Lonchura striata: one gene and its partner. The protein of the gene in region 2 purifies or fractionates together with the protein of the main gene of each other region. This does not show direct contact. Links are inferred from orthologs where the notes say so. Each region holds a gene or a part of one and is shown on either strand. Other genes may lie near its edges. The genes, in order: PPP4R3A and RNGTT.

The links.
Region 1: the proteins of RNGTT (region 2) and PPP4R3A purify together in Homo sapiens (affinity purification with mass spectrometry; 3 studies listed by BioGRID and IntAct, with this or other methods). This does not show direct contact. The link is inferred for Lonchura striata from reciprocal best matches to the Homo sapiens genes RNGTT and PPP4R3A.

The regions. Positions count from the first base shown.
Region 1 is NC_134608.1:16,525,414-16,541,116, reverse strand, and holds the start of PPP4R3A (serine/threonine-protein phosphatase 4 regulatory subunit 3A), read right to left. Parts: upstream 7,355-15,703; 5' UTR 6,344-7,354; coding exon 6,202-6,343; intron 1-6,201. UniProt on the Homo sapiens protein: Regulatory subunit of serine/threonine-protein phosphatase 4. May regulate the activity of PPP4C at centrosomal microtubule organizing centers.
Region 2 is NC_134605.1:78,268,758-78,283,593, reverse strand, and holds the start of RNGTT (mRNA-capping enzyme), read right to left. Parts: upstream 8,390-14,836; 5' UTR 8,327-8,389; coding exon 8,263-8,326; intron 2,559-8,262; coding exon 2,449-2,558; intron 1-2,448.

The DNA of each region.
Region 1 (15,703 bases), on a different chromosome or scaffold from region 2:
GCCCCCTTCTCGGCCTTGTGCAGGTCCACGCAGATGGAATCTGGTCCCTCAGGCATGCCAACCACACCACTGCAGCTTGGTGCCACCTGCAAAACTGCTGAGGGTGCACTCGATCCCCCTGTCTGATACTGATTAAGATGTTAGGTTGGGGGATGTGAGGCAAGAGACTGAAGAACCAGATCACAGAACTTCATTTGCTGTAAGAGTGGTGTATCATTAAAGAATTACAGAATATCAGAACATTCTGCCTGATAAGAAAGGTTACTACTTGATGAATTTAGAAGCTTTACCAATGAATTTTATATCCACTAGCTTACTATGTATGTGATCATCAAATACAATTAAGTATTTTTTTCAAATTAATGTACCTGTGAAAGCTGCTAGTTCCCAATTTCTAAGTCTTTTGCTCTACAGGAGGCAGCTTTCACTAATGAAGTTGGCTTGAGAAGTTATCACCCTGTCTCAACTGCTCTTGGAGTAAAAGCTGTTTACAAACTCAATAAAATTCAACAACAAAACTGAAATAAATACCACTCAAGGGAAAACACGACACACAGAAAAAGCTCTCTTGCCTCAAGCCCAAATATACTATTCAGGTTTTTTTGAGTTTTTTTTCAGTTTTCTGACACACATCAGCTCTGTTACCAAAGCAGCTTATTTGCTTAAGAGTAAGTGCATAACTAAAGAAAAAAAAAAAAATAAATCAAAAACCATAGAGCAGGACAGAGAAGGAAAACATCTAAGATGAGGTTTACAGATGAATCCAATCCATTGCTCATCCTTTGGCCATTGTCTCAAACTTTGAATTTAGACTATGCCTAAATTACACCTAAACTGAGCATTTCCTTTTTACAATCATCAGATACGCAGAGTCAGTCATGCTTTCCAAGTCCCAGCTTCTACTACATAAAGATTTAAAATATTATTTGTGTAAAAAAATTGGCAGACAAACTTCTAGAAAGTCTTTACTGTCTAGAAATATTTAATATCAGCAAGTATGAACTAAAATCTTCTAGGAATCAAAAGTAGTTGATAATTTCAACATCATATTTTAATGGCTGAACACAGACCTACGGACATGTAAATCTCAACATTAGAAGAATATCATACATAACTTAAATGTCATGTTTGACAAAATACTATTTAAAAAAATTGAAAACAATTGAATGCAGACACTTAATCTTCCATGCTAGAAGCAGACAACAGAGAATGACTTCTTTACTAGACTTATCAAAAAAGAGCATTTCTTCTTCTCTACAAAACTTGATGCTTGCAGGAAAGACAAATCAAGCTTTTTAAGGCTTGAGTTGTTTCTCACTACCACATGATTCAACTTATTCCTCACCATTTTGGACAATAACAAGAAAAATATTGATCTGGAGATAGAAACATACTGAAAGGTAAATTGTGCTCTAGAATTAATACCTGCCCCAAATCTATCCTTCTGGAAAATATGATGCTCCCTCTGTGCAATAAGTTCTCCAAAAATGATTCAACAAGTCAAATATCAGTGGCTAATCTACTAGGTTAGTTCAGTGAGTTTATTTTCTATACTAAATTTTACAGGATCAGGCCCCTTCCTGGTATGAGCTAATGTTAGGTCTTTGTTACTTGCATGTGGAAACCAGGCAGCAGTAACAGACATCTGAAACACAGATGTATTCTTTAGAAAAAAGGTTACAGAAACATAACGCACCACAAATAAACCTGCATTCAAAGTCATTATCACTTGAGATGCTTTTGTCAGAAGCATTACTTTCTATGTAGGTATTTTTTCACTGGAGGTATCCTAGAAAATCTTAAGACTATCTAGTTTACTTCATAAAAATACACCAACAAAATTTCATCTTCATTGACCCAATGACACCATTCAAAGTTAGGTAAGAGCTGAAAACTCACTTTAATGCAGGCTATGTTTTAAGCAAATGCTCCAAAATTATGCATATCTAATTATTTTTTTAAATTACACCCTTTAACAAATTTGTAAAGGTAACTGAAAAACACTGGAGCAAAAAAATAATATCTGAAACCACCTATAAAAAAGAAAACTGACTTGCAGAGTTCTATTACCTGTCACTGTAATGCAGAACAGCACAGCTGGGAGTTTTGTTAGTAGAAAACATCATTCTGTGATGCAGAAGCAATGTGGGTATAGGGAAAGACTTGCTCAAAAGAAATTACATATTAAAAAAGAGATATTTGATGCTATTTTCAATTATATTTGGAGACATCAAATATCCCAATTCAACAGTCTTGAACAGGAAATTTGCAGCTTTGTTTACAAATATGCATATGGAAGAGACCAGTTAATCTGGCACACTGCTGCTCTCCCACCAAAACTGTTACATGGAGTCTTCCTCAAAAGCAGAAAAGAAAAAGTGCTGCTCATTACCCCATACCACTATAAACATGTTTACATTTAAACGAAAGTTTCAATTCAAGAGCTGTTTCTTGCAAGATGCACACAGAGGTTTAAGTTCTGCAATTAGTTCTGCTGCAACCCAATCACAGAAACTAATCCTCAAACTCAAGAAATTGAGGCCCGAGAAAGTGTTCTACAAATTCAAGAGAATATTCCTGAGTCTAAGACACTTCTGGAGGGCCAAACCCAAATATTAAGGAAAGGGGAGAACCAGGAGAAAAGAAACAAAAAAAACCCCAAGTCATCTTCCCCCAAGCTTTTTCCCACTTTGATACAAGATAAATACTGTGTTGCTTACCTAAAAAAAAAGGCAATAAAATCAGTCGCTTTAGTTTGAACAAGGTAAAAAAAAATTAAGCCAAGTTTTGTCTAAGCCTGCCAGTTGTACAGGTTTACTGATACCTGCACTACAGAAACAGCAAGGATAGGTGCTTGCCCTGTGGCAGAAGTCATTAACATACACACTTCAGAAGCAGCAAACTACAACTTCTGAATGAAAATGATGAGAGTTCCTAAAAGGGAGCTCACAAATATGGCCTGCAGTGGAGGGGTTAACTTTCACTTGTCAAAAACTTTAGATACAGGACAAGTAAGTTTTAATAAAAGGTTTAAGCTTTCAAATTAACAAAAATTACTTGAACAGAAACTGTCACTTCAGACATCTGGGCTCAGAACAAAAACAAGGTGATCTGAAACCATCCAGTAAACCCCAAGAAGCACAGACACTTTAAGAATAAGGCTGGCCACAGTAGGCTAAAATACCATGTCAGAAATGAGTAAGAAATCAAAGGCTTTTGATTACACACAGACTCACACGGTAGGTGATAATTTGTAAGAAAATATTTCACACTTGCTCTGCTACAATTCAAGTAGGATACATTACAACTAGGAATCACACAGAGAAACTTTTCAGGGTTTTAAATAAAAAGTGAATACCTATTATAGTGTAAAAAAAAAATTACAATTTCATGCTTCAAAGCATAACATACCTGATATGAAAGCAGTTTATGGTATTTCTGTTCTAAAATTGATTATTCCAGATTGTCTGCAATGACTCTTAACAGTTTAGTGCCTGGCAACATTAGACATGCAGCTAACAACACAACTCACTCATCTACTCTAAATGATTTTCTTTTATGATTGTGTTAAGCACCAGCACACACAAGTTTAAAAAAATCACTGCTACAGATAAAAACTCCTTTTACTCAGTTCTTATTCCTCCAATTCCAAAGGACAGCTTACATTGGATGTGGCACACTGATTGTACTTCCCTTATCTGAACAGCCTGACTATGCAATAAAATCTCAACCACTTGTAAAGCAGCCTACTACACCAAGTCACAGCTGCAAAATCCAAAGACTGAACCACGTGCTAGCCCACATGGTCAGCCAAAGAAACCACTGGCAATTCTGCTGTTGATCTGTGCATAGCCAAACTGGCCCTTTAACAGGAGTGGGAATTTCCCACACACATAAGGAAACTGCTCAGGAAATGGAGCCTTCACCTTCAGGCAGATCCCGAGGTTTTCTGTCAGCTTCCTGGAGTAAATCAGTAAGAATATGCCAGTGTGCACAGGATGAATCTCAGCTCAAAGGCTAGGAAAAGCTGGTTTAGAAATGCAGGAAGGAAGAAATTTCATTGTGGAAAGAGGAGGAGCTGACAAAGAAAGACAATACAAGAATGCAATGGCAACATGGTGACAAATGGTGTATAGGTCAGTTTCTACTACTCAGTTCATACTACTTTTATGTCTTGGTTAACTGGGAAAAAGTTAAAAATCACAATCAACTATTGCATTTAGTTAAAAAAGCATGCAAGGAAACACAAATTGCACACTATGTAAAGCACAGGTATGGCATTACCTTTTTCCAAATAATTTGCTCACATGTAGAAATGACTATCTGCCTTCAAAATTAGCCCACAAACAACAGTGGGAGTAAACAAAATATAAATCAAATTTTATGAGGTGTCTACACAAGCAAGTTAGAAAAGCTAGCCTATTACTAGAGTGGACATTTACTCAGGACTGATATTACCTACTATATAAAGAATTTTAACTGTATTATTCAATACTTTGAAGTAGAAAGTATGCAGTAGAGAGAGGTCTAAAGTGTATATCCTACCAAATAAATATCTGTGTATTTGGTGCAATTAGTAAGTTTGAGACATTTCCTGCTTTGATTAGAGTATCTTAGCTATGCCAGCTAAAGCAATGACTTAATTTTAGTTTTTAGTACCAGTCTGTATCTTCCCTCTTACAGATGCTCATTTATTTACAAGAGAGCTGGCACCAACAGTGCAACTCAGGTTTTAATGAGACTGAAGCACACATATCCCACTAAAAGTTAATAAATGGATTTTAGTTCAAATTAGCTATTTCTTTACAAGGAGGTTAGGAGCTGCAGGTCTTTCGATTTCTTTTCTAAAAAAGAATTTTTAAAATTTTTTTTAAAAAACAGAAAATTTTTAATATATAGGAGAGAACAGTTTTTAAACATGTCCCCAACAGCCAGGACAGTATCTACAACAACACATACTGTAAAAATTAGCAAAGAAAATTAGTGATAAATTTTTTAATTCCCTCCACATGTTGAAATTAAATTAAATTTATTTCCATTTTGAATGCTTTCTCTTGCTATATGAAGCTGCTCAAGATTTAAATGTATCTTCCTTGCTGTAAAATAAATAAAAATCAGGTGCCAGTGTAACCTGTTAAAGTATAATCAAAAATCTGTGAGATCCGAGAGCTTATCAGACACCCAATTATCAAAATCCTGCTTAGATGACTGATTTTTCCATATCAGTTTATGATCTTTGCTGTAAGCATTACATATTGTACAGTTTATCAGAACTTTCCCAAAAAGTAAGGATTAATGATTCTCAAGTTGCTTCTCATCCGACTTCCTACAATAAAAAAGCTTAATAAATAAAATTACAAGGTCTGTTGACAGTCAAAAGCATAACTAGATCTACATGTCACTAAATACAGTAGCTATACATCTAATGAAGTAGTAAGTCATGCATTGACAGACTTCAAAAGCAAAACGGTACAAGGCTGATACTGTGAAGTACACATTCTAAATCTCTGATCACAGCAGTCATGAACTCACTTAACCAATAGTCAAGACTAGCCCAAACATGTAGCTACAGGGCTATATTACTCTTAACATATACTCCTGACATATGCTACCAGAAACCAATTGCTGAAGGACTGAGTACTCCCATCCCATTAAAAAAAAAAAAAAAGGCATCACTGAAAATGCTGTTCTGCCCCTTGTATTGCCTTTACTACCATAACTGTACTTTGAAAACCGTTGATAGCTGTTAGAATGTCTTACATAATTCTAAAAGCTACCAAAAGGGCAAGTGGACACAAAAGGGTATTAGCCATCCAACGATCTTTTAAAAACAAATACTAAAACCCAAGATCTAAGTTTTGAACAACTTTCATGAGAGGATCACTTCCAGCAAGATCCAGGGATCAGTTTTGAAACCAGACCAGTAGATATCCAAACCCATGCAAGATTTACAAGGAGACTCGAACGCATTTTGCATGCAACACTGTGTACGCACTAAGTGCCTACTATGCTTACACTTGATGGCAATCTCCTGTTTCTTTCACTTGGCCTAGCACGAATGAACCCTGGTTAGTGCCTGCCTGCTTTTAGGAATACCATTTGAATTATGCAGCAAAACATTAACGCTACAAACACAAAGCTACACCCAGTTCCTTTCCTGGGCAGGACGAGGAAAGACTGTACCTTCAGCCGTACACTTACCATCACTCTCTGCCCTGACTAGCAGGGACATGCCCTTGAGCCTCTCCACGTAGCAAGAGGACACATGCCCCGTGCCTCGATCATCCCACTGGCGGTCCTCATTTAGCGTGTACACCTTCACCCTCCGCCGGGTGTCCGTCATCCTGCCGCCTGCCGCACCGCAGCCACCACTCTGGCTGGCAACCGCTGGAGGAGCACAAGGCTGCTCGGGGGCCAGGCCCCCCTCAGGGGAGGCGAGCGGAAAAGAAGGCAGCAGCCCCACACGGGCACGCCAAGCAAGCTCTTCTTACTCCTCTTCAGTGCCCCAACGGGATCCTCATTATCGAGGGTAACAAGAGGATTGGGGAAGAGGGAGAAACAAGAGGTGAAGATGTGAAAAGGGGAGCTGCTCCTTCAGGTACAGTCAGGCGCTGCACAAAAGGCGAGTAAACCTAGGCAGGGAGAGCCGCAGAGAGGAGAGAGGCTCTTTGCAGGGCGAAGGGCAGGCAGGAGAGGCGGCGAAGGAGGGACTCCGGAGGAGAAGGGGATCCACGGTAGTGGAAGCGGCGGCGGGCTGCAGCCGGCCCAGCGTGACAGGAGCAGGCGCTCCTGGAAGCCGGAGCCCTGCCGAGGAAAACAGGGGGGAAGCTGGTGAGGCCGGAGGGAATCAGAGGAAGGGACGCAGCCGGGAGCGGGGCCGCTCGCCCCGGCCTGTAGCCCGGCTCTATTGTGCAGCAGCAGCCCAGGCCCGAAGCCCCTCGCTCGCCGTCCGTCAGCGCGGGGCTCCAAGGAGCCGCCCTCCTTCCCGCCCGGGCTGCCCGGGCCTGCGGACACTGCCCGTCCGGGGACAGGGTGAACGGCCAGCCGAGCTCAGCGCCCCGTCTTCCCCATGGGCTCCGGTCGCAGGCGGCGGCTTCACTCCCAGCCTGACTCCGCCGCCATGTTCTTCTTCCTCCTCCTCCTCCTCCTCCTGGTGCTGCGGCGGCTCAGTCCCGACTCCCCAGCGCGCCTTGAGATGTGGCTGCGCTTCCAGGCGTTCGGCGGCCCGGCCAGCAGAGAAACGCTGTGCCCTGCGGAGGGAGGGGGCGATCGGCAGCGGCTGGTGCGGCCCGGCTCCCTCCGGCTCCGCCTCAGTCAGTGCGCGGCCGCCATCTTGGTTTCACCTCTCACTGGAGGCGCGGGGTCTCCCAGCCAGCGGCAGCACGGGCCGCCCGCCGGCATTTAAAGGGCCAGCGGCCCCGCGCGGAGGACGCGCATGCGGCCGTGGCAGCGCCGTTACCGCGGGTCCGGGGCTGGCGCGGCGGGCCCCGGAGTTGACGTTTTCTTAGACTTTTTTTTTTTTTTTTTTTTTTTTTTTTTTTTTTTTTTTTTTTTTTTCTCTCCTGTCACATCTTGCCGAGTGATCCCAAAGTTAAACGGCTTTTGGTGAATATCTGTTGGATCTCCGCAGTCATAGATGGGATAAAAGAATTCCAATATCAGAAGCTGTCGAGGCTTGACGGCTGCTGCCAATATCTGAGCATATGTTTGACAGATTTCCCTAAAATATGTGAAAACGCTGGTGCATTTGGGACCCGGCAGCGCCACTGCAGAAGAGTCCATTTCACACTACCTTATAGATAGTCACTGTACATGGGAGCTCACTGCAATATGTACTCTATTATTTTATGCCTTTGAGTAAGTCCTGATACTCGTTTATCAAAGTGAGTTGTATTGAGGGTGGTTTGAGCCCAAACAACACATTTGCAGCTTTCACCAGGATTAATTATGTATCACAAGGAATCCTCTAGTCAAGTCCTGTTTTCCTTTGTCCATCTTCTATTTTGCTTGGCCTGTTGAAAGACAATGCCAGCAGGATTGATAGGCAGCTTCCTGAGCAAGATCCCAGGGTCACAGCAGCAGCCTGGCAGAGCTTGAGCGTTGGACAATGCTCTCAGGCACATGCTGTGGCTCTTGGGGTGGCCTGTGCAGGGCCAGGACTTGGATTTGATGATCCTGATGGGTCCCTTCCAAATCAGAATATTCTGTGGTTCCTGAAGTGCCCAGACACAGCCATTTGGCCTTTGCTCTGATGCCCAAGGGCTGGTTAAGAATACAAGAACCTTTGAGAGGGTTGTTTGGGTGCCTAAGGACATCGCTGAAGGCGCGCTGTGCTTGTTCTCAGCGCGGTGTTCTTGGCCAAAGCAGCGACAGGTTTGAAGAGATTCAGGTGTCCGGGAGCTGTGGCTTGTGGGCCTGGCTGAAGGGGAGCACCGCACAGCACGCGCACAGGCCTGGGCAGCTCCTGAGGGGCTGTTCCTGGGCAGCTCTCAAGGAGCTGTATCTGGGCAGGTGCTGTGCCAAAATCTCCCTCAGGCCAACCTGGAGATGGATTTTTGTGACTTCAGAAAAGATTGATGTCACTTAGAGAAAACTCTTGTAGGACTGTTATATTAACGTACCATTTACAAATTGTACCCTCTTGTGGCCATCAGATTAAGTAAAGACCGCACTGCTCACTGCAGTTTTTTTTTTTAATTTTTTGTTTTTTTGTGAATTGAAAACAAGAACTTAATCAGATTTCAGTTTGCATGGTTTGCTTAATGCAAATTTTGGGCTCAGCTTCTTTTAATGGGCCTTGAGTTATCTTGAACAACTGAACAATGCTCGATCCGACAATAGTGCCTACTTGTCAGGTTTTAACCCAGTTCTCATTATATTTGGCAAGGGAGTTTTATTTTTCCTAACATTTCTACCCCAGTCATTCCAGAAAAAAAGGTTGGGCATTGAGAGCAACTTCCCATGCTGGAAATTAGCTGGGAAAGAAAGAAACATTCTGTTTATTTTTCTTGGAATAATGAGTTTGAAAGCAAGTCTGTCAGGTCACACCTCAATGCCTTCTCTCCATTTCTACTCGTTTGAAAGTTTGTGTCTAGAAGGAAATATCTTCAGGCATGAGGAGAGGCTGTTATTAACACTGAGTTTAAATGTTTAACCTTTTTAGTTCCCAGAAATAATAAAGGACCTAGCCCTGACAGAAACTTTTGCCCATCAGGAACCAAGTAATAAATGATGAAATGGAATGTTGAATACTGTTTTAAACTTTCATATTCCTAGGAAAGTAACTATACATAGATCAATGCAATAGGAATAAGCCTAAACTGGGTTTACCATAGTAAATATGGGATTACCATATTCTTGCACAGCAGTCAAGAATAAAGAACAAGATAACTTTTTTTTTCAGTGTCTAGTAATAATTTTGGGAAAGAAAATTGCATTGTTATTGTGAATAACTTCAGGTCACACATATAAATTTGGTTCTATATACTAAGGCATTATTAGAGTTCCTAAAACTCTTAGCTAACTATTTTCTAAAAGAAAAAAAAATGTTAGGGAAACTAACAACTTCATACTTTATTATGTATAAATAGAGTATAAATAAAGTATAATTCATACTTTATTATTATATACTTTATTATGGTGAAGATTATTGCTAGAATGAAAGTCTGTACTTGCTTGAGTATATAGATCTGGCTATACTCAGTATGTGCAAACAAGGTTACAATCCATACTACACACACGCAGACACTCTCTATGTCTTCTTGTTCCCAAGGCATGTATTCTGACTTGTGCCCCAAAAACCTGTGGAAAATGAATGACTGAGTGCAAAGAAAAAATTAAATGGAAAAATTATCATAATAGGGGGAGGCTATAAAGAAGATGTCTGTACAGGAGTCAGAATATTGTGATCAAGAAGAGGGGAGATTCAGAAAAAATATATTTCTAGTTTAGTGGGGAAGAAAACAAAGCAGTTTAAAATAAATACATACAGTAGACAAAAAGCAAACCTAGCAATCATTACAAGTTATGAAGCACAGAAAAAATGGATAAGGATTTCAATAAATTTGCATGGTTGGTAGTTTTAGGAACAGCTCATGTTTCCTAAATCTTAACACTCTTATAGGCCTGTTATATCAAGATTTTAAAAATGTTGATATTGCTACCAAAAAAATGGAATTGTTTAATAAATAAATTTTATACTTGAAAGAATGTGCAATATATTTGTATCATACAATGATGACTAAGTTCTTTCCTAGTCATTATTTAGAGGGATATTAAACAATTTCTCTTAGAGAGAAACTTATTCAAGTATACAAGTCCTAAAAAACTTGAATTTGAGAGTCCTAAAGAGGCTTGTGTGTGTGATCTCAGGAAGTATGAAACATTATTAACTTTTAATAAAGCTTAAATTATTGCAGAAATTCTGGAAGACATGAAGACTGACTATTAGTATTCAAACTGAACAAGTGAGAACCCAGGTAATAGTAGGCTGATTTATCTGACATCAGTCACAGACAATAAATGCTCACACAGAATGCAATAAAGATGGGCTTATAGCAGTAGCAGCTGATGTGGCTTTAGCAAGAAAAATTTAATTTATTGTTAAATTACAATGTTGCTCATAAGCGTAATGGAGCAGATATACATGGATAGTTCTCAGGTATTTTTCTGGAAAGTTAAAATTGTATTCTGTGAAGAAAGCTCACATTGCATGGGTCACATTTGAGGTGACTGGTATAGCTCAAAAGGAATTATTGATCTGTGGAGATGATCCTAGATGATTGTGAGAAATCAAGAGCAGGACTGATGGTAGTTAGGATTTCTTTTAATGTTTGGAAAGTCAATGTAAAATCTCTGTGCATAAAAGCTGTGTATGACTCAGAGAGCCTGGAAGAATGGCAAGAAATGGATGAGGCTATAAGGGTCAGAAACAGAAAGCTTCACTTCCTGAAGGTGCTGATGTAGAAAGAATATCCTAGCCTGGGACAGCTGGGAAGGTTACTGACAGCTGTTTCCGGCTTATTCCAGCTTTACAAATGTTTGTGAGCTCATCAGTGCCTCCCAGTAATTTAAGGCAAGCAATGACACTTTCACATAAAATTTTGAGCTGTAAATAGTGATTGTTCAAGACCTGATGGATAAGCAGCTCAGGCAGTCAGGCTGTGGTCCTAACAGGACCTTTCGGATACAGCCAAACACAGGGTCACATCTATGGGAATAAATAGTAAGGCAGCTCTGAAAGAAGCAAGGCTGCATAATAAACAAGCAACCAAACACAAACTTCTGATACTGCTCTGGGTCTGTAAGATCCTATAATATGCTTTTTGGACAGATTGTAAACTAGCACACTGTGGAAGAATGTAACATCAGGAATAAAAGTAGCTTTAATGCCACATTCTATAATTCTGGTGTCCTCATGGTTAACAAATTTTAAGACATTGAAATGGATCTGAAAGGACTGCTCTGAGGAGCTTTATTTTTTTGCACATCCATCTGTCACACTCCAAAATCTCAGATTCCTGCAGCATGCACTCTTTTGCAGCCACACCCTCTGAATCATATCTCAGATGCTGCCACTCAACTTTCACATCCTGCCACAGATCCTGAGAAGCAGTAATTCTGTTCTTGTACCTGAACCACAAAGATGAATCTGTGAAGGCCAGCAGTTAAGAATCTGGGACTCTTCCTCCTACATAATGAATCTCCTTAACAAAAATGTCATCTCTTTTCTTTCAACCTCCTATTGTCATCTTAATTTTCACAGTACTGAAAAGACCCTTGTCTTCCAAGCAAAGCTTTCTTTCAGGAGTTCTCTGCAACTGCACAGTCATGCAAAGTCTGTATTTGTTTTGAATTCCTGTATGCTTCTCTGAAAATGCTACTCTTTATCTAAATATGTAGGCCTCATTATCATCAGACTGAAGAATTTCAAAGCACTGCTGACACAGAGAACGTGTCTGCATCATTTATTCATCCAGCAGTGAAAATTCCCCTCCTTCTGCAAGGGGAACTCCAAGACATCTGAATTGTGCTGGCTGTCCCTATGCAGTACATATTTATGTTTTTGCATGTATTATTTTGCCTGTTGACTGTGTTTGTAACATTTCAGTAAGAGTTCTGAATTTTTTTTTTCTTTTTCTATGGCAGAGTTCCTATTCCTAATTTTTGCTCCCAAGTATTTTTTTAAATAAGGTTTCCAGTACTTCATCCATAGCTCAGACTACAACAGGCTTCCCTTAGCCCCATACATTTGTTGGTCTTTTGAGAAAGTGATGGACAGAGACACAGGAAGCATGAGATCCACATCATAACTTTGTTTCCAGGAAGTTTTGAAAATCCATCAGAAACTCAGAAGGGTAAAAATTACTTCAATTTTTCTATTATATCTCTACCTAATCACCTAAAAATTACTATCAGCTGCAAAACTCTCACTTAAATAAATTCCTCATTACCTTAGGCACATGCTGAGGTGAGTGTGGAAACTGTTGAAGCTGTTTCCAGTTTGTGTAAATAAGAACTACATAGGTGGATTGAGAGTAAAAAGGGAGAAAAGCCAAAAGGGATGGAGAAGGCACATTGTCAGAGCCAGAACAAGACAGCGGCACATGGACACAGGTAGGTGGACACTCATCCTTACACACACAGTGTCTCAGCAGCTTGGTACTTCAATTGGAGCAGTCATCTGGGATGACTGGACTAGACCTGTGTAAATTTAGGATCAGGTTCCTGGACAAAAGCTAGTGAAAGTGACAATGTATCTGTATGTAATAAAGTGTAATAAATGTAAAAATATGTCAGAAACATGAAAAAACCAGGAGGCAGGTAAGTTTTTTGAAGACAGTAATTTAGAATCAGCCATTGTACTGACAGCAATTTAAATATGTTTGGTTTTCCAATTTTAAAATAAAATTTTATGAGTCATTTCACTGTTTGTGACAATGATAGTCTTAGAGATGCAAATAATTCAAGACTTGCACAGAATAGGAATGATTGTGGTGCAAGTTGCAAGTAAGTAATATAAATAGATTGAGAGCACATCCAATTATCCGAGAGATTATTTTACTAATTATCTTAGCTGGTTCTAGTGTCTTTCATTTTGCATTTGAAGCCAACAAAGCAGAGGGGAGAACCTGACACCAGGCTCTGTAGATGAGCTCTGCAATAACAGGCCAAGCATTTAGGGAGGAAAATGTGCACTGTCCTCACTTTGCAACCCTTCTATAGCTAAAAGCAAAGCTAAGTAGACCAAATGCAAAACTGGAGATTTTGGTATTATTGTTACCTAGAAAAACAACCTAAATTGTTGTGGAATGGGTTTGCTCAGTAGCAACATAGAAATTCTTCTGATTCTACACTCAGCCTTGGCCTCCTCTTTTCCCATGTATGTTACCTCTCTTCTGGTTGACACCAGCGATAGGATTTGGGTCCACACTCGAGACAGGATTTGGCAAACATCTGTAAGATGAATAAAGTCAGCAAAGTTCAGTTGTTTAATGTCCCCTCCAAAATGAGAACTGAGGAGCAGCAAGTAGGTGGGATGGTCAAAACAAGAACAATGATTCTTTTCTCATAGCTCATTGAAGAAAGTGATGGAAGGCTCTGCTGCAAGGAAACATTGATGCTGAAATCAAACTTGGTAGTCCAATGTACTAATCTACTACAAGTGTCTGTTGCACAGCATAGGTGGCCTCGAAGCAGAGCTCTCAAGTCAGACACTTCTGTGACTAATGGGCAAAGGCATTAGAGGCATGTGGGGATTATCAGCGGATGTGCAGGAGGAAGAAGGTTGGGAATGGCGTGTGTGCCAGGAGGGTCTGGAACAGTGAGGTGCAAAGGGGGTCTGGCATCTTTCACACCCCAGGGTGTTGAAGTGTGGGGTGATGGCAGTGACACAGCTCTGCTGTGCACTGGCTGGTGCAGGACAATAGGGCTAAAACCACAGGGAGAATGAATAGTCCTAAATAAATACAACTAGACCAACACTTGGACATTACTACCAAAGACAGTGTAAGTATATACCATTTCATTAATCATCACTGCAGCTTGTCAGTTATAGAAATTAGCTATTATATTATTAGAATTATAGATATTAAATATTCATTAACAATTATCTAAATTAATTAACATTCAGGATTTATTTGTGATGTTTATGGCTTTCATTAGTGACAGAACCTGAGAAAATAATAAAGAGAGAACATATAATCTGTACGAATATATCACAGTTCTGTCTTTATTTGTGTTTAATACTGACTTACAAGAGTATGGTGAGAATTCTTTAAATTTTCTGAAATCTTCTGCATAAAAAAATCTTGTAAACACCTGTTCTCTGGTAGATAGATCTTTGAGGGTCCCTGATGTCCTATAATTTCAGATATGTGGTATAATATAGCCATTCAATTTAATGTACTTGTATGGGGACAACAGAATTGCCAGCTGGCATTTGTTGAGTCCCCTGATACAGCCACCATAGAGCCTTTATCACCTAAAGATCTTAGTCCTTTGCAGCCATGAGAGGATTCTGGGGCAACTAGAGATAAAAGAAAACAAGACTAATTCCAGTCAGTAAAGCTGAAACCTTGATCCCTTCCTGCTTTCCTCTGTGCTTCTCATTTCTCATAATCCCAAATCATGGGGATTATGATTTATACTTTCCTGTTACCTTTTATATATGACATGGACCAGCCCTAAATCCCTTTCCTGACCTCACCGAGGAAACCATGGATCCAATCAAGTTCATCTCCCTCCTTTACTCATACTCATACCCTCTTTATATCTCTACCATGTTCCTCCCAATTCCTTTCAGCACACCCAGATGAATTGTGCTAAGGTTGGTTGTGTTCTCACCTGCCATCCTGCTCATAGCTATCAAAATCTCTGCTGTACCATGTTCCCTGCTATAGGACTAATCTCTGTGCTTTCAAGGTCCAGCACAACTTGGTTCCCCTTCAAGTCAAATACATTTTCAGAGTTTCTTTTCCTATCCTTCTCTTTCCTGATTTATACTTGCCTTGAAAACCTTCTCCTATCAATTGGCATGTATCAGCCTCTGGTTTATCCCATGTGTGGTACTTTTCTTTTTCATATTGCAAATATTGTTCTCAGTTTTCCCAGGAAGTGGCTTTTTGGTGATTCCAGCACACAAGCTTGTCATTTAGTTCAGTACAGCTTCTTTGTAGGCATGAGGACTGGCAAAGGAGAAAGAATACTGCAAAATAACAGTATAGAGAATCCACTGTAGCCACAAACTCTGATGAAGGCATGGACATGAGAAACGTAACAGTATGAGGGAAAATCAGAAATATTAATTTAATAGGAGATGTAAGTTTTGTTAATCAATTGCATTTTAAGCACATGACAAATTGCACAATTTTATAGACGTTTAAACTCAAATGCACACATTTCACAAAATAAAACAAAAACTTGTTAGCAAAACAAGACTTCAGCCATTTAAAGAGGAGATGTTTTTGGAATGGAAATTAAATGGCATTTTTCTAGTAGTAGTACACTGAGTGGTATCAGAATTGGGAACTATGCTGTTTCTTGCCTCCAGCTATCTCAGTTCAGGTCTTTCATAGCAGAAGAACTTAGAGATCCTGAGGGATTTTTTTCCCCTCCAAAGCACTGTACTGAAAATAACCCCCTAGGAGGTCATAGGGTTACATGGAAAATAGTAGTTTAATTTATTCATCCTAAATAGCAAAAG
Region 2 (14,836 bases):
ATAAAGAGGCTCCTCTGCCCCTAAGCCTCCCGAGACTGACAGACGGGACTCAGATAAGCACCAAAAGACCGAAAGCGCACGCGCAGAGAGGGAGAGTTCAAAAGTTCAACCATGAGGAAGACCACGATCTTCAGCCCCAAGAGACCACCAGAGACCCCCACAGGACCACCACAGCAAACCATGCATTTCTAGAAGGACGTGGACCTATTTAGCATGAGAGGTGAAGACAGGCAGGCCCAGGGGTTGAATATGCACAGAAAAGTTGTGTAATGTACTGCATATGGAACACCTTTGTGAATAAAGGTTTAGGTCAGACTAAGGCTCAGGGCACAAGTCTTGGAGAGCAATCTCACTTGTGTCGGGTGCTAGCAATACATACCCACTTCATAACTACCCCAAGTTCTGGAGTCCATTTATTTATTCTGTGTATCATTTCAATCTGAGATAAGATAAAAGTGACACTATCCTCAGGTCTGGGTTGTGGGAGAAGAATACTTCCTCAAGAGAATTAAGTCCAGCAGCTTCGGGGTGGAGCCATAGCCCCAGGCTTATCTGCTGCCAGGTCTGTGTAGACTCTCCCCCAGCCCCGGGGAGGAGGAGAAGTTTTGGGTGCGTAACCTCCAAGCAGAGGCAGTGAATGCCCTGCACAAACTAGCTCAGCTGTGGGAACCCCCAGCCCAGGAACACCACATCTACAGGACATTCACGTGAGGGACAGCAGAGGGGGTGTCATGGTCCATCAAAGGTCCCCTGAATGGTTCCCCAGACCCTGCATCAGAGCACTGCACATGATGTAAAATTATGCAACTGACACAGAACCTTGCAAGGGACAGTGCCAAACTTCCCCTGCTCAGAGGAGGCACCTGGGCATTCCCACCTGACCCAACCATATATTAATCCACTGGATTCTATACTTTGTGGTGAAGGACCCTGCCCACCAAGAAGACCAAGAGGGGAGCAGCAAGATGTCATTGGGACCCATGAAAGGGCGATATGTTTCTATTCAATCTGTCTCTGTCACCCTTTCTGTGCCCCACCTACCTCTTTTTTCTATTTCTGTCTCTTTTTCTTTGTTTCTTTTACTGTTAAATAAACTGTATCCATTTTTTGGTATCAACATTTAACCTCATTTGGTTTTAATCTTCTTTTAGGAAATACTTTGACCCTCAGGATTATTACCATTTTATTCACAGAGTTCTGTTTGATCCTCTGTGATTAGAGTGGATCATAAAACCACAGATGCAAGAACTCTAACAAGAAAAATCCTACCAGTTCAAGCACTGAGAACAGGCACATATGCTTCACTGATCGTACTTTCTTATCGCATTACTGCACAGGTGCTCCTACCACGCTACACTGAGTAGTTCACTATCTACTTCATACCTAAACTTAAGTAAGATTAATGAAATGAGGATTCCCGTCTTTTAGTCACCGAATTCTTCTGATGTTTCAGGTCTGATACTGTTAAACAAATTCAGAATTTAACCTCGATCAACAGCAAAACCTAATGAAAAAACCCACAGAAAAAACACCACTTGCATGATTCATCTCATAGACACAATCAGAACAAATGGCACTAAACTTCTATACAAAGTTTAGTAACCAATTAAATTAATTATTCTTTGCCTGGCAGGCTCTAATCCCATTTCCTACATCTCCAGATGCACCAGACTGGCCACAACAGTACAGAGACTTACATGAAAGGCTGGAAAGGTCCTGTTCCAACCTGCATTGTCACAGTTTTGTTACAGCCCAGAACAACATGCAAACTGAAGCACACAGATAGAAATGGGCAAAACAGAAAATGAAATAGTGAGCCAGAACCACAAGTTTGTAGTGGTGGATGCCACAAGGTTTAATAAGGCAAAGTGCAGGGTCCTGTCACAGCAGCCCCAGGCAGTGCTACAGGCAGGAGGAGGAGTGACTTGAGAGCTGCTCAGCAGAAAGGGACACAGGGGTGCTGGTTTACAGCTGTCTCAGTATCAGCCAAAGCTGTGCTGCCCAAGTGGCCAAGAAGGCAAATGGTACCCAGCCTGTATCAGCAATGGTGTGCCCAGCAGGACCAGGGCAGTGATCATTCCCTGCACTCAGCACTGGTGCGCCCACATATCGAGTGCTGTGTTCAGTTCTGGGGCCCTCACTTTAAAAAAGACATTGAGGTGCTAAAGGGTGAACAGAGAAGAGCAACAAGGCTCATGAAGGGTCTCTTATGAGGAACAGCTGAGGGACCTGGGTTTGTTTAGTCTTGAGAATTCTAACCTGTAAGAAAACACTCAGAAATCCATTAGTTGCAGAGGAGACCTGGAAACATAAATGAACAAAAAATATTTCTGTACTGGTGTCCCAAACAAAGCCATCAACAACTTCTTCCTTAGATCTGAAAAGCAACACTTGAATAAATATTAATAATGACAACAATGTTTCAATTATTAGAAAATTTAACTTTACCTTCAGACTCTTTAAGTAGTTGGATAACATACTCGGGTGAAAACGATTTTCTTCAGCAACCTGTTCATCATATCTTGGTCCTAACATTGTCTTCAAAGGTAAAAACTTCCCTATGAAAGATAATAAAATTTTGCAGTATTTTATGCATACGTACTGTTACAACTTAGCCTTTCAAATCAACATGCTGAGTAGCTTTAGACATTCCCCTTCAAGAATTACAGTCAACAGTAAATTTGAATATTTTTTAGTTATGAGTTCTCAGAATTCACAAGTTAAGTTTAAAAGTTTAAGGGAAATACAGGTCAGTTCATCTAAAATGGAGTAATTTAACATTTTTTGCTAACTTTTAGTGTAATTAAAGTCGGGAGGGCTACAACACAACAGAGTATAGAAAATTTAAACTCAGTAGAGCTGAAAACATGAAAACAGCATTTTAAAATAACAGTTTGTCATCCAATCATGTAAACATCAGTTTTGATTACCTGCAAATATAACATACAGTAAGGATCCCTGCAAAAAAAAAAAAATAGGAACACTCTGTATAATCTCAAATAAGCATCTATCTTCCATGAAATAAACATTAGAAACCACAGAAGACAGACAGATGTGGAAACTATGAAGCTTTATGCAACTGGTTAGCTCAGGTTAGATGTTAGTGAGCAACATGAGAAACAGCCTCACTTTTCCCTTGAGATCATTCCAAAATTTACAGCTAAAAGGAGAGTTATTCTGTCATACAATCAACACTCATGTTAAATGGTAATAAATTATAATAATTTCAACTTTTTTGACTGTAAGAAAAATTTCCGTTTATTGCCCTTTGCCTTTTCATCTCAACAGTTACACACCCTCCACCCACCCTGGTAAAAGCTGTTGGGTTGGATACCTCCCCTCCATTTCCCCAGCTCTTCAACTACCTTTTTCTTTTTCAACTAATTTTCTTGCTTCTTTGTGTTCCTTGTCACCTCCAACACTATCATTCAGCCTCTCTCTGCTAGCCCTTCCACTTTACCTTGCAATATTCCTCTGTGCAGACTGATTACGCAAATCCTAAATTTACATGATCTATACTCAAAAATCTATCATCACCCTAATTTTTGAGAAACAACATCATGCTTGACAGTTTTTTGACTTTGCCACTTGTCACACCCATACTAACATATCTGCTCATTCATTATGGAACACAAAGAAGGTAACTAAGCTTTTTTAACCATGGCACTCAAGAACAGGAGCAGCACTGATGAAAGAGTCAATGGCTACATAAGAAAACCACCATCCTTTACAAGATGCTGGGAAAAGAGAAGAGTGCGAAAAGTGCCTAGAGGTTACAATTGTTTCCTGTAGCATCTGATATGAGACTGTGCGGTCGCACAGAAGACTCTCCCGTTCTCCATCTTCAGGAACAGAGAATGAACACATTCATTCTCTTCCTAGTAGCAAACCTTGATTTAGTGTCTGATTTCTTTTTGAGCAACCAAAATACATTCCTGTTCACTGACAGGAAAAGACAAAGTTGTCTAGTCAGCATCCCCTGCAGCATTTGAATGCCTACAGACAGCTGTGGAAGTGATGAATATTTCATATAGAGCCAATTTACTATGACTTTCAAAGCTGAAACACAGATATTTGGAAGTATTTAGGTGCTCAGCTTCTATAAATTCCAGTTTCTTCTTCTCTACCTGGAAAATCTGCTATTTGGTTTTTGTACAGATGCTTAAAAAAACTTCTTCCCCATGTGCATACAAGCTTCTCATAAAACATCATCAAGCTATTGAAAATCTGAGCTCTAATTCTAAAAATGTTTCTAAGCTTTTTGAGTAATATGGACAAGTATAAAGGAGGCAGTAGCTACGGTCTCTTCTACAGTTTTACCTTACATCTTGTGCTAAAGAAGTGATGCAGTAATACCTGATTGCAACTCAAGCTGCCTTGCATAACCTTTTGAAGATTAAAAACTCATTTGCTGAATTAGGAAATCCAACAGTAACAAAGTGATACTTTACATGAACATCAAAGCACCCCAAATCATTCAAGTACCTCAACTCCATTATGACAATAATTGTAACTCCTCAATAGAATTTCCAAATTAACTTCAAAATGTTACTGGAACCCTGACAACAGATTATTACCTACTTCGACAATTATGTTCAAATTTTTCAAATAGTTCTGGAAAATGGCTACTAAAAACTAATTTTCCAAATTAGTTACCTGTCTAACAGATGGTATTTCTTTAGGCTGAAAAACAGGTAAAAATTCTAAAAATAAGAGCCCAGTATATCAGAGCACAGACATCGAGTGGATAAATCTGAAGGAAATCAAAATAAACAATGTAAGGTATCACATTTTCTACATGTACATGCTCTAACTTTGTCACTTTTTTTACCTTCAAATATAATATATTATAGAGCATATATCCAGAGCATACCAGTGAAAAAATACTCTTAATTTAGCCTGATTTCCTGTGACATGAAGCTATCAACTCAAAACATGACATAAATAATTAAGTATGACCATGGTATGTTTAGATTGAGCATTGATTAGGAAGGCTAGACTGGGTAAAGTGTGAGGTTAAGGGAATAAAATTAAACAGTAAAATCCACCATTAAAAAAACCACAGTATTTCTACAAAGTTTTCTGATTCAAGAGAACTATGCTGGATCTAAGCATCCATTTCACCAAGTATGTCATCACCAACATAGACCAGTAACAGACAACTAGGAAAGAGAGTAAAATAATGCCAATGACAATCCATCATCCAGATTATTCTCCCCAACAACAAGCTATAGCTCAGAAACTTTCTGAACCAGAAACATTACTCTTATTTAAGGTGCTTTCTCATGTGCAATATGGATGCTTTCCATAATATCCCAGAGTTCTGCATGCTACATGTGTGTCTAGAACAGGATTTATTAATATGCATCAATAGAAGGAGGCTGGAAAACACTGCTGAGACACTTTTCATGCCTCTTCTTCTGTATCTTGCTAGCACTTTTCATGGCAAAATTGCCAAGAGAATGGGTTTTCAGTGGTCATGAAAAGCAGATACCTGCTGGGATGGTGCTGCCAAGGCAGTAAGGCTGAAGCAACCTGATCACTTCAGAGTTTAGCATTCAGAGGAAAGCTCCTTTCATCAAAATTACTGAAGTTCTACTACAATGCAATAAATGTGAAAATGTGCGATTCTGAGGATAAAACCAGAAAGTGGCACAAACTACCAATATTTAAAGAAGCGAATAATGGCAGACATAGATGAATTCACATTGTCCAGGATAAAGAGCCCTGTTAACCTGAATGAACCCAGTCTCACCAACAGGAGAGTTTCAGGACTCATTAGTACTTTTCTTGAGGTCATCTAGAAATCCTAGATGCCACAACTATGACACAAGAGCATCACAATCAAACACTCAATGAATACGAGTACACAGAAGCCATACTAAACTTTTTAGCAGCACTATTACTAATACACTATCAGATGGAAATAAAGTCGCACTCAGGTGCTTAGAAATCAGATTTAAACACTAATTAAAACTAGGATGTAACATCTGGGAGATAGTACCAACATCAATTAAACCCTAAAAATCCTCTCATGTAGAACTGCTAGATGTCTTTGAATGTAAAACAGCAAAAAAGGGAAGATCAGTGGCATACCTTTACTTTTGGTATATTGTTCACGCTAAAAAAAGTAAAAGGTGAATAAGAACACATCCTGATAAAGCACACAAAGAAATGAGCCAAGCACTTTCAGTTTTTTCACTTTGCATTAACTTCCTGTTCATGATTGCCTGGAATGGAAAATAATTACCTTGCAGTTCCTGAATATACACACACAAGCAGTGATGGCACAGCAGATGACACACTGATGACCCTCATTCATGCTTACTCTAGGTTGCTATTTCTGAGAAACCATGGCTCAAAAGACAAAAAAAAGCCACAACTAACAGAGATCAAGAACTTGCTGAGAAGAAGAGCACAGAATCATTAGTCTGTTTTTGTCATGGTCAAAGGCTTAGGCTATCAAATTTCTCTCATTAGATACAAAGTAATGTGTGCGGCCATGATCAGGAGAAAATGGACATGAGCATCCAACAACACTGTTATTTAACTGAGCCAAGTTCAGAGAAGTGTAAGGAACTTGATGGAAACCAGTAACCCATAAAATGAGCAACTGATGTTAAATACTGACAAATGCCAAATAATGCATATTGATGATTACTGAGGATTAAACCAACTGAAATGTCTCACCAGGTTCTAAATATTGTCATCAGTGTCTTCTATTCCACAACCAGCTGCCATCAAAAAATGTAAGATGACGTGGAAATGTGGGATAGAAAACACAAGAGTTGTACCTATTAAGCAAATCATGGCACAGTGCCAGTTTAAATAACACACTCTGTAGAACATGTCGTGTTTTGAAAAAATACCTTCACATCATCATAGAGAGGGATATGAAAGGAGTGAAAACTAGAAAAAAATGGCAAAAAAAAATAACTGTAGGCAGGAAGTGCTTGCATTATAAAGAAAAGAAGAACTTGAGAAAACTGAAAAGACACACTTGTTTACTTTATCTCACCAGGCAGCAGAGGAAACATTCACCTGAAGTCAGAATGATAGCTAACACACAATCAAAAACGCGTGTTTAGATGATAATGAATTCATTGCCATTATATGCCAGAAGACTTGCTACTGAGTAACAACCAAGACAGTGCATCATGGGCAAGAATATCCAAGAAGACAGCAACTACTAACAAACCCTGAAATACAAGTGTAACACTGGAGTGTTACACAGCTAAAGCACTCAGGAGCACATTGGTGACTGGAAGGGCACTATCAGTTAGCAGAATAACAAATTGACACAGGTAAGACTTCAGAGCATTCAGGAAAAAGAGACTCAAACATGGAAGAGGCTGCGCAGAGGACTGGTATCACAAAATTGGTCAGGGTGGAGGGGACCACAGAGGGTCATCTGGTCCAACCTCCCTGCTCAAGAAGAGTCATCCTACAGCATATTGCACAAGACTAAATCCAGATGGCTCTTGAATATCTCCAGTAAGGGAGACTCAATAATCTCTCAGGGCAATCTGTTCCAGTTCAGTCACCTGCACAGTAAAGCTCTTCCTCATGCTCAGGTAGAACTTCCTGTCCATCAGTTTCTACCCACTCCCTTTTGTCCTACTGCTCAGCACCACTGAGAGGAGCCTGGCTCCATCTTCCTGACCCCCCCACCCCTTTAGATATTTATACAAATTCATGAGATCCCTTCTCAGTCATCTCTTCTCGATGCTGAACAAGTTCAGTTCTCTTAGCTTTTTTCTCCTAAGAAAAATGCTCGAAGCCTCTCATCAACTTAGTAGCTCCAGTACGGCACCTTCTGCATGGCTGGCTGTCACGTCTCTCATCAGATGTGACAGACAGGAAAAGTTTCAGCCCGAAACTGAACCACTGCGAAGCGAGAGCTCCGCACTAAGGCCCCGGGGGGCAGGAGAGGGCCCGTACCCCCGCAGCTCTGGGTGAGGCGGGGCGAGTCCGTGTCAGACGGGGGCACAGCCCGGGGGGAGGGCGAGCCCGGCGCTGAAGGCAAAGCCCTGCTGCTGCCGCGGGCCGGGCTTTAAGGAGAACAGCCACCCAACGGGACTCGGGTCCGGGACAGACAGCGGCCTGGAGCTCGGGGTGGAGCAGCGCACAGCCGCAGCCCCGGGACAAAGAGGCGAGAGGCCGCGAGGAGGAGCGGGGCCGGCGGGCAGCGGCGCCGCAGCGGAGGGGCCGCGCCCGCCGCCGCCCCGCGGCCGGCACGGCCGGAGCGGGCCGGGCGCTCACCTGCCACGGGCTGGCCCCTCCTGGGGCAGTGGAGCCAGCGCGGCGGGATCTTGTTGTAGGACATGGCGGGGCCCGGGCGGCCCCGGGGGAGGGAGGGAGGCGGGGAGGGGGCGCGGGGCGGCCCCGGGGCGCTCAGCGGCCCCCGGCCCGCGGCGCCTCCATGGAGAGCCGGCCCGCCTCGGCCGCCGCCGCACACGGAGCGCCGGGAGCCGCTTCCGCTTCCGGGCCCCGCGGCCAGGGGCGGCGCCCGGCCGGGAGGAGGGCGGCTGAGCTGCGGCGCCTCGTTCCGCCCGGGCAGGGCAGCTGGCCGCCCGCTGCTGCAGGCTCCTCCTCTTGTGCAGAGAGGGGCCGCAGAGCTGGGGAAGGGGCTGGAGCGCGAGTTCTGTAAGAAGCGCCTGAGGGAGCTGGCGGCTCCGGGGGAACCGTATCGCTCTCTGCTGCTGACTGAGAGAAGGCTGCAGCCAGCTGGGGCTCGGCCTCTTCTCCCGGGCAACCAGCAGTAGAACAAGAGAACAGACCTAAGCTGCACCAGGGGAGGTTTACACCGGACATTAGGAGGAATTTCTTCACAAGGATGATTAGATATTGGGATGGGCTGCTCAGGGAGGTGTGAAGTCACCCTGGAGGTGTTTAAGGAAAGACTGGACGTGGCACTTGATGCCATAGTGTTTGGTCATAGGTTGGACTCAGTCTCGTAGGACTTTTACAGCCTAATCGGTTCTGTGATTCTCAGTGAGTCCCTCCGAGTCACTACAGGAAAGTAACAGGACCTGGGGGCAGCTGGGGGGATCATTTGTCCAGCCACAGGAGCAGTCAGCAAAGGCTGCTGCAAATGCAGAGTTTACACAGGTCTCAGGGAAGACTGAGCAGATGCTTCAAAGAGAGTGTAATCCATGGCTACTAAAGTAGCAGGCTGCATCAGGTTTGGGAAACAGCCTGACTTGAAAATAGCTGGAGGCTTGGGCAGACATAATTCCTCAGCTTTTACTTTTTGCCAGATGTTCTCTCACAGCCAGGAGTGGATGTGGAAGTGGGTAGATCCTCCTAGTAGTGCAGCATATTCTAATCAGGATGTAACAGACTTGCTAGTGTAGCAGAGATACCTCTGTCCTGAGCCTTCTCTTTTGTGAAAAAAGCACACCCAGAAAGATGGCATGCAGAGAGAAACAAAAACTTTGTTTCCATGCAGAATGCCAGTGAAAATTTTCCATCTGCTTTGTTACATGGATTCAGCTGAAGAATTGTAGCCCTGAAGTAATTGTCCATGTGAAGGAACATTTAAGGTGTGGCCTGACTTAACTCCTCTACCGACTAAACCCATACAGCCACTTACCCTCTCCGGCCTGTGGCAGGACTGGGGAGAGAATCAGAAGGGTGAAAGTGAGAAAGCTCAGAGGCTGAAATAAATGTAACGAAAATTAAGGAATTGAGTTTAGCCATTTCCAGGAAATCTGGGCTTCATCATTCACAACGGTGACATGGGAAGAAAAACACCAAATGTCCACTCTTTCTCCTGTTTTTTAATGCTGAGAATCATTACATACTGATTATTACATCACAGTATCATATGGTCTGGGATATCCCTTTGGTCAGTTGGGGTCAATTGTACCAGCTGTTCCAGATGTGTCCCCTGACAAATTCCTGTGCACCCCCAGCCTGCTGTCAGGGCAGCATGAGAAGCAGAAAATATCTCGATGCAGTGCAAGATCTATTCAGCATTAGCTAAAGCATCCCAATGTTCCCAATACTGTTTTGGTCACAAATGCAAAATGTAGCACCCTACAAGCTACTACAATGAAAATTAACTATCTCAGTGATGTCTGAAAGATGGGCTGGAAATAAATCCCCATAGACCGATGTTTATAGAGCAGGTATTGGTTTATTGCAGCACTGGTGGTGAGAGGGATGTCTCCACCTAACTCACCCACCCTTGTCTGTGCTGTAGTATAGTCATACAGTAAGTGTTGCTTAGTATCACTATGTCACTACAACATCATCATATATGTGGCAGAACTAATTTACATTGTTTGGTCTCATGGTTATTAGATCATACTTTTGGACTGCACTTGCACCTCCCCGGTTTGGGGGTCTTTGATGAAGGCTTCCAAGGTCTTCTTCACATCTGAACTTTTCAACTTTGTCTTCGGAGCATGCACAGTTACAGTGTTCCTTTGTCTGTCCGGTCTTAACAGACCTAAATTCTTTATTTTGTGGCTAATTGGCTTTGTACTTGCCAATTTTTCATTAGTATTATAATTATCCATATCTAAAACTATCCACCTGGTGAGTTTTTTCTTATTTTTTTTATCTATTCAGCATTAAGCTGAATAGACAAAAAATATATATAGTTAACCATATACTAGCCATTACATTGTATAAAAAGTTATGATTCAGGTTATATAGATATATAAAAAGTAATGACTTAGGTTATATTTATATCAGGTTATATAAATATATCAGGTTACATTTGTATATAAAAAAATCATGATTTAGCTTATATTTATCTCTTACAACTCAAGTTATATAAGCACCTTGTAATTGTGATCTTAGTTACATTGCCAAAAATCAGTACAGATGGCTTCAGTGAAGCATTAGGAAACAACAGCAATAGATTTTTTTTTTTTTTTACCTAATTTTCTAGTTATTTACATTTCAGTACTGTTCTGTCTGCACTTTTTGTTTTGCCATAAGCCAGGTGTGCTGCCTTTGCAAATCAGTAGGGGCCACAACTTGCAGAACTAACCAGAGCTGTGTGTACAGACTTAATAGGAAGCCCTTAGGTTCTGTGAATACATTGAAACAATGAAAATAATTTTATCCATCTAGCATTCATTACAAACTTTATTACACATTTTCCTCACACATTTTATAACTGGGTTTTATTAAACATAGTTTCTTCCCTAGAATATCCTCTCATAGTAATTCAGGTATTCAGCTAGGTAGTTTGCATAACTGAGTCATTAGGTTCTTGTACTATGTTAGAAGTTTCTGAATTTTGTCTTCTAAGGCTTTTGTCACCATCAGACACTAATCTTCTCATCCTAGCTAAAATTGAAGGTCTTGCTACAGCAAAAGACTAATCATATTATTTTCCCTAACTGCTAAATGCACTTCCATTATATTGTTACTTTATGCTGTTTGAAATCATTTCCTTTACAGAACAAACAAGCAAAAAGTCAGACACTAGGTGGTGGCAAAGACTGGCTGGAAAAGAAAATGAACCAAGTGCAAGGCATGCTCAGAAAAAGTGAGAAGCAAAGAGCAACAGCAAGATTGTATCTGATTTCAGTAAATTATGGGCAACTTGCAGTAATGTTAGCAGTATGGCAAAATCAGGAATGAAACCATTTGGAGAGGGGAAGATTAGTACAAAAAGATATTATGAATGAGCAGTAATAGATTCTCATCACCTAGATTTAAGTGTCTGATACACTTTTGATCAAGAGTTGCAGATCAGAAATATCATTATTTTTATATATAATATGTAGTTGAAATGGGAGAATATATTTTATTTAGCAATGCATAAGGCAAGTAATTGTTTACAGCTGATGTAACATGTAATATGCATATATATATATATACTTTGCCATATTAGACACCTTGCCACTATTTGCACAGGCATCTGGTGATGTTTGCATGTGACATCAAACACTCTGTGAACAGGCATGTCCTGCTTGCCTTTATACCAACAGTTAATCTGAGTCTTCTGGTGTACCAGCATGTCTTCCTGTGATGTTCTAAAGCTGACATGGCTGTGTCTGAACAAGGACTGTGAGGGTGGCTGTAGTGGTCATTTCAAAGATTGCTTTGAGAAAACAATGCAAAGTGTTAATAGTCAATTATATAATATTCCTCTTTACTGTATATCAATTTTCTTTTATCTTAGAGGTACATAGATGCTTGTGCACTTAATTCTGGTTTCTGCTCACCAGTTTTAATCCTTTTCCTGGCAGAGCAGACACTACAGTAAAGAAGTCATTTTCCCAGGATGCAGATCATTCTCTGTGCCATGGGTATCACTGCTTTGGTTTCAGCTCAACCATGTTGGTTTAGGTAGTGGGGAGCTGAGTTTTTTTTCTTTCTTGACTTTAAACCATTAAAAGTTTACATTCCACACAGGAATGACACACACACATTTTAACTCTTTTTCCTAATTACATACTGAACATTTACCCAAATTGTTGCTGATTAATAATTTCACACTTTTAATGTCATAAATTATGTAGCTACTTATAATATAAATGTAAGTTACCTGTTCTACAGAAAATTAATAAATTAGGTATTTCTCCTGACAGAACACATGGTGTTGCCCTCTTCTATAGTGACACAGGTCAATGACCCTGTTACTCTTATGCTTCAGTATGGCATTATTTTCCATGTGCTCATAAAAAAATAATGAAAGCAATAAGAACAACACCCCTTGGGATGCTCTATGAAACAGCCACTTCTGACTCTATCTAGTAAATGCATCTCTTGAAAAAAGAAACAAGCGAAAACCCCCAAACAAACAGATTAAATCTCAGCTAAACTGAGATTGCAAAAGAATTTAATTAAGAGAAAGTAACTGTGAAAGAAGCTAACTGTATGCAAACATGATTAATATTATATTATTTTTCCACTTTGTGGTGTAGGTGTTCACTTGGAAAGTGACAATGCAATAAGCTTACAAGTATATGGAACATAGAAAAATATGGTTTTTATTTACTAATTAAATTGATTTATTCCTTGCTTATTGGTTTTAATGTTCATAGCAAACTGACTTAGGGGTACAGTATTCCTTTATGACTGATTTCAGCATGCATGAATCTTGTGGGGATGGGTGAGTACTGCTGAATAAATATTTTAACTTTGTTACTGTAGCTGTATTTTATTCCAATAGTAATTACATTCTAATGCTATCATAAGAAAAAAAACCCTGAAAATAGTAAAATTAAAGCATAGTTTTAGATTTCAGCGGAAGTTAATATTATGGTTGCTTATGGTTATGTTCTCTAATACATATGTAAGCTTCTAAATTAAAAAATGTATGAGTATTCACTGACTCTTAAAAAGAAAATTCTAGGAATGTAACATTTTAAATTGACTCCTATTTGTTGAGTATCAACAAATGTTTAAGAACCTAACTTCTGAGACAAATTATGTTTTCAGGTTTGAAAATTAAAGTAAGACTTAAAAAGAAAGTTATTTTATTCCTTATGTGTACAATATGAAAAAGGGATGTTGAAACAAAGTTTTGAGTGCCATACTATATTTGAGAAAATAAAATGTCATTTACAGTGTTGTTTCTACAGAGAGCTTTGAGAGAAAGAAAGTCAGCAACAAAATTGCCAGTCTTTAGTCTTTGTGACATTAGGGGGCATCACAACCTCACAGACTGAGAAAGATGTAAGTTAAAATACAGTTACTTTTCCTGTCCAAAGTAAACAGGGAACCGCATAAAATAGCAAAATCAACTCCCAGAATCATTCTTTAGTGCAAGGTTATGATACAGTTCTTAATAAAATTTCAAACAGAAGCAATCCAGACATTCACTACACCTTCCTTTTTATAAGAGTAATAAAATTAACAGACTAATGGTTGCTATATATGCAGCCTTCTCAAGTTTATTTAAATCTTGAAGCTTCCTTTCAACTGAAGTCTCTATGGTATCACAGTGTTAGTTCAATCAGTGGAGTGAATCTCTGTATGGGCAGGGAGCACAGGGTAAAACTGGGGCAAAGCTGCTTTAAATCTGGGTCCCTGGACTGGGTATTATGTTTGGGGTAATCACCATAGCTGTATGCAAACATTAGTAATATAATATTATTTTTCCACTTTGTGGTGTAGGTATTCACTTGGAAAGTGAATCAAATCAGTCTACAACACCAAACGTGTGTGCTGCACTGATGACATGTAAATCTCACACTGCAAGGAACATTAGCAGTCTTAGACAAGACATGCAGACATGGCAGATTATTTACCTAATAGATGATTTACTTTGTAGATGATTTACTCTGTAGATGATTTACTCAGTAGATGATTTACTCAGCAGATCTATCCAGGAAGAAGGTGTCTGTCCAGAGGGTTGGTGTGCTTGAAGAGGGACAAGAGCTGTGACTTCATGCACTGATTTGCAGGCCTGAAAAATAAGATGCTTTGCTATTGATCCTGTTCAGCTGAACTGATAGTGTGTTTGATGTATCAGAGATAAGAAGCTGGACAACAAGCTTATAAACAAGGCACCTGTCATTCCTGGAAGGCTAACGCTGGTCTCCCTAGTGTTCTTAAAGTTTGTCCTAGACAACTGAGGCCTTACTTGCATCAGCTCTGAGGGATGATTTTCAGTGGAAATCCACAATGTAAAAAATATCCACATGTAACATTGAAGAATATGTGTTCTACTGCATAAAATGAATCATATGGTAGTAGGGTGCTTTGAGTATGGATGAAGTAATCAAACAATTAATATGTCACAATGGAAAATGACTAGTAGTAGGGCAAAGTATGACATGATATATGAGAAACTCATCTAATTTAATTAAGTGGAAAGTATGACTCATAGTCTTTGGAGCTGGGCTGGGGAGTGACTGGATTC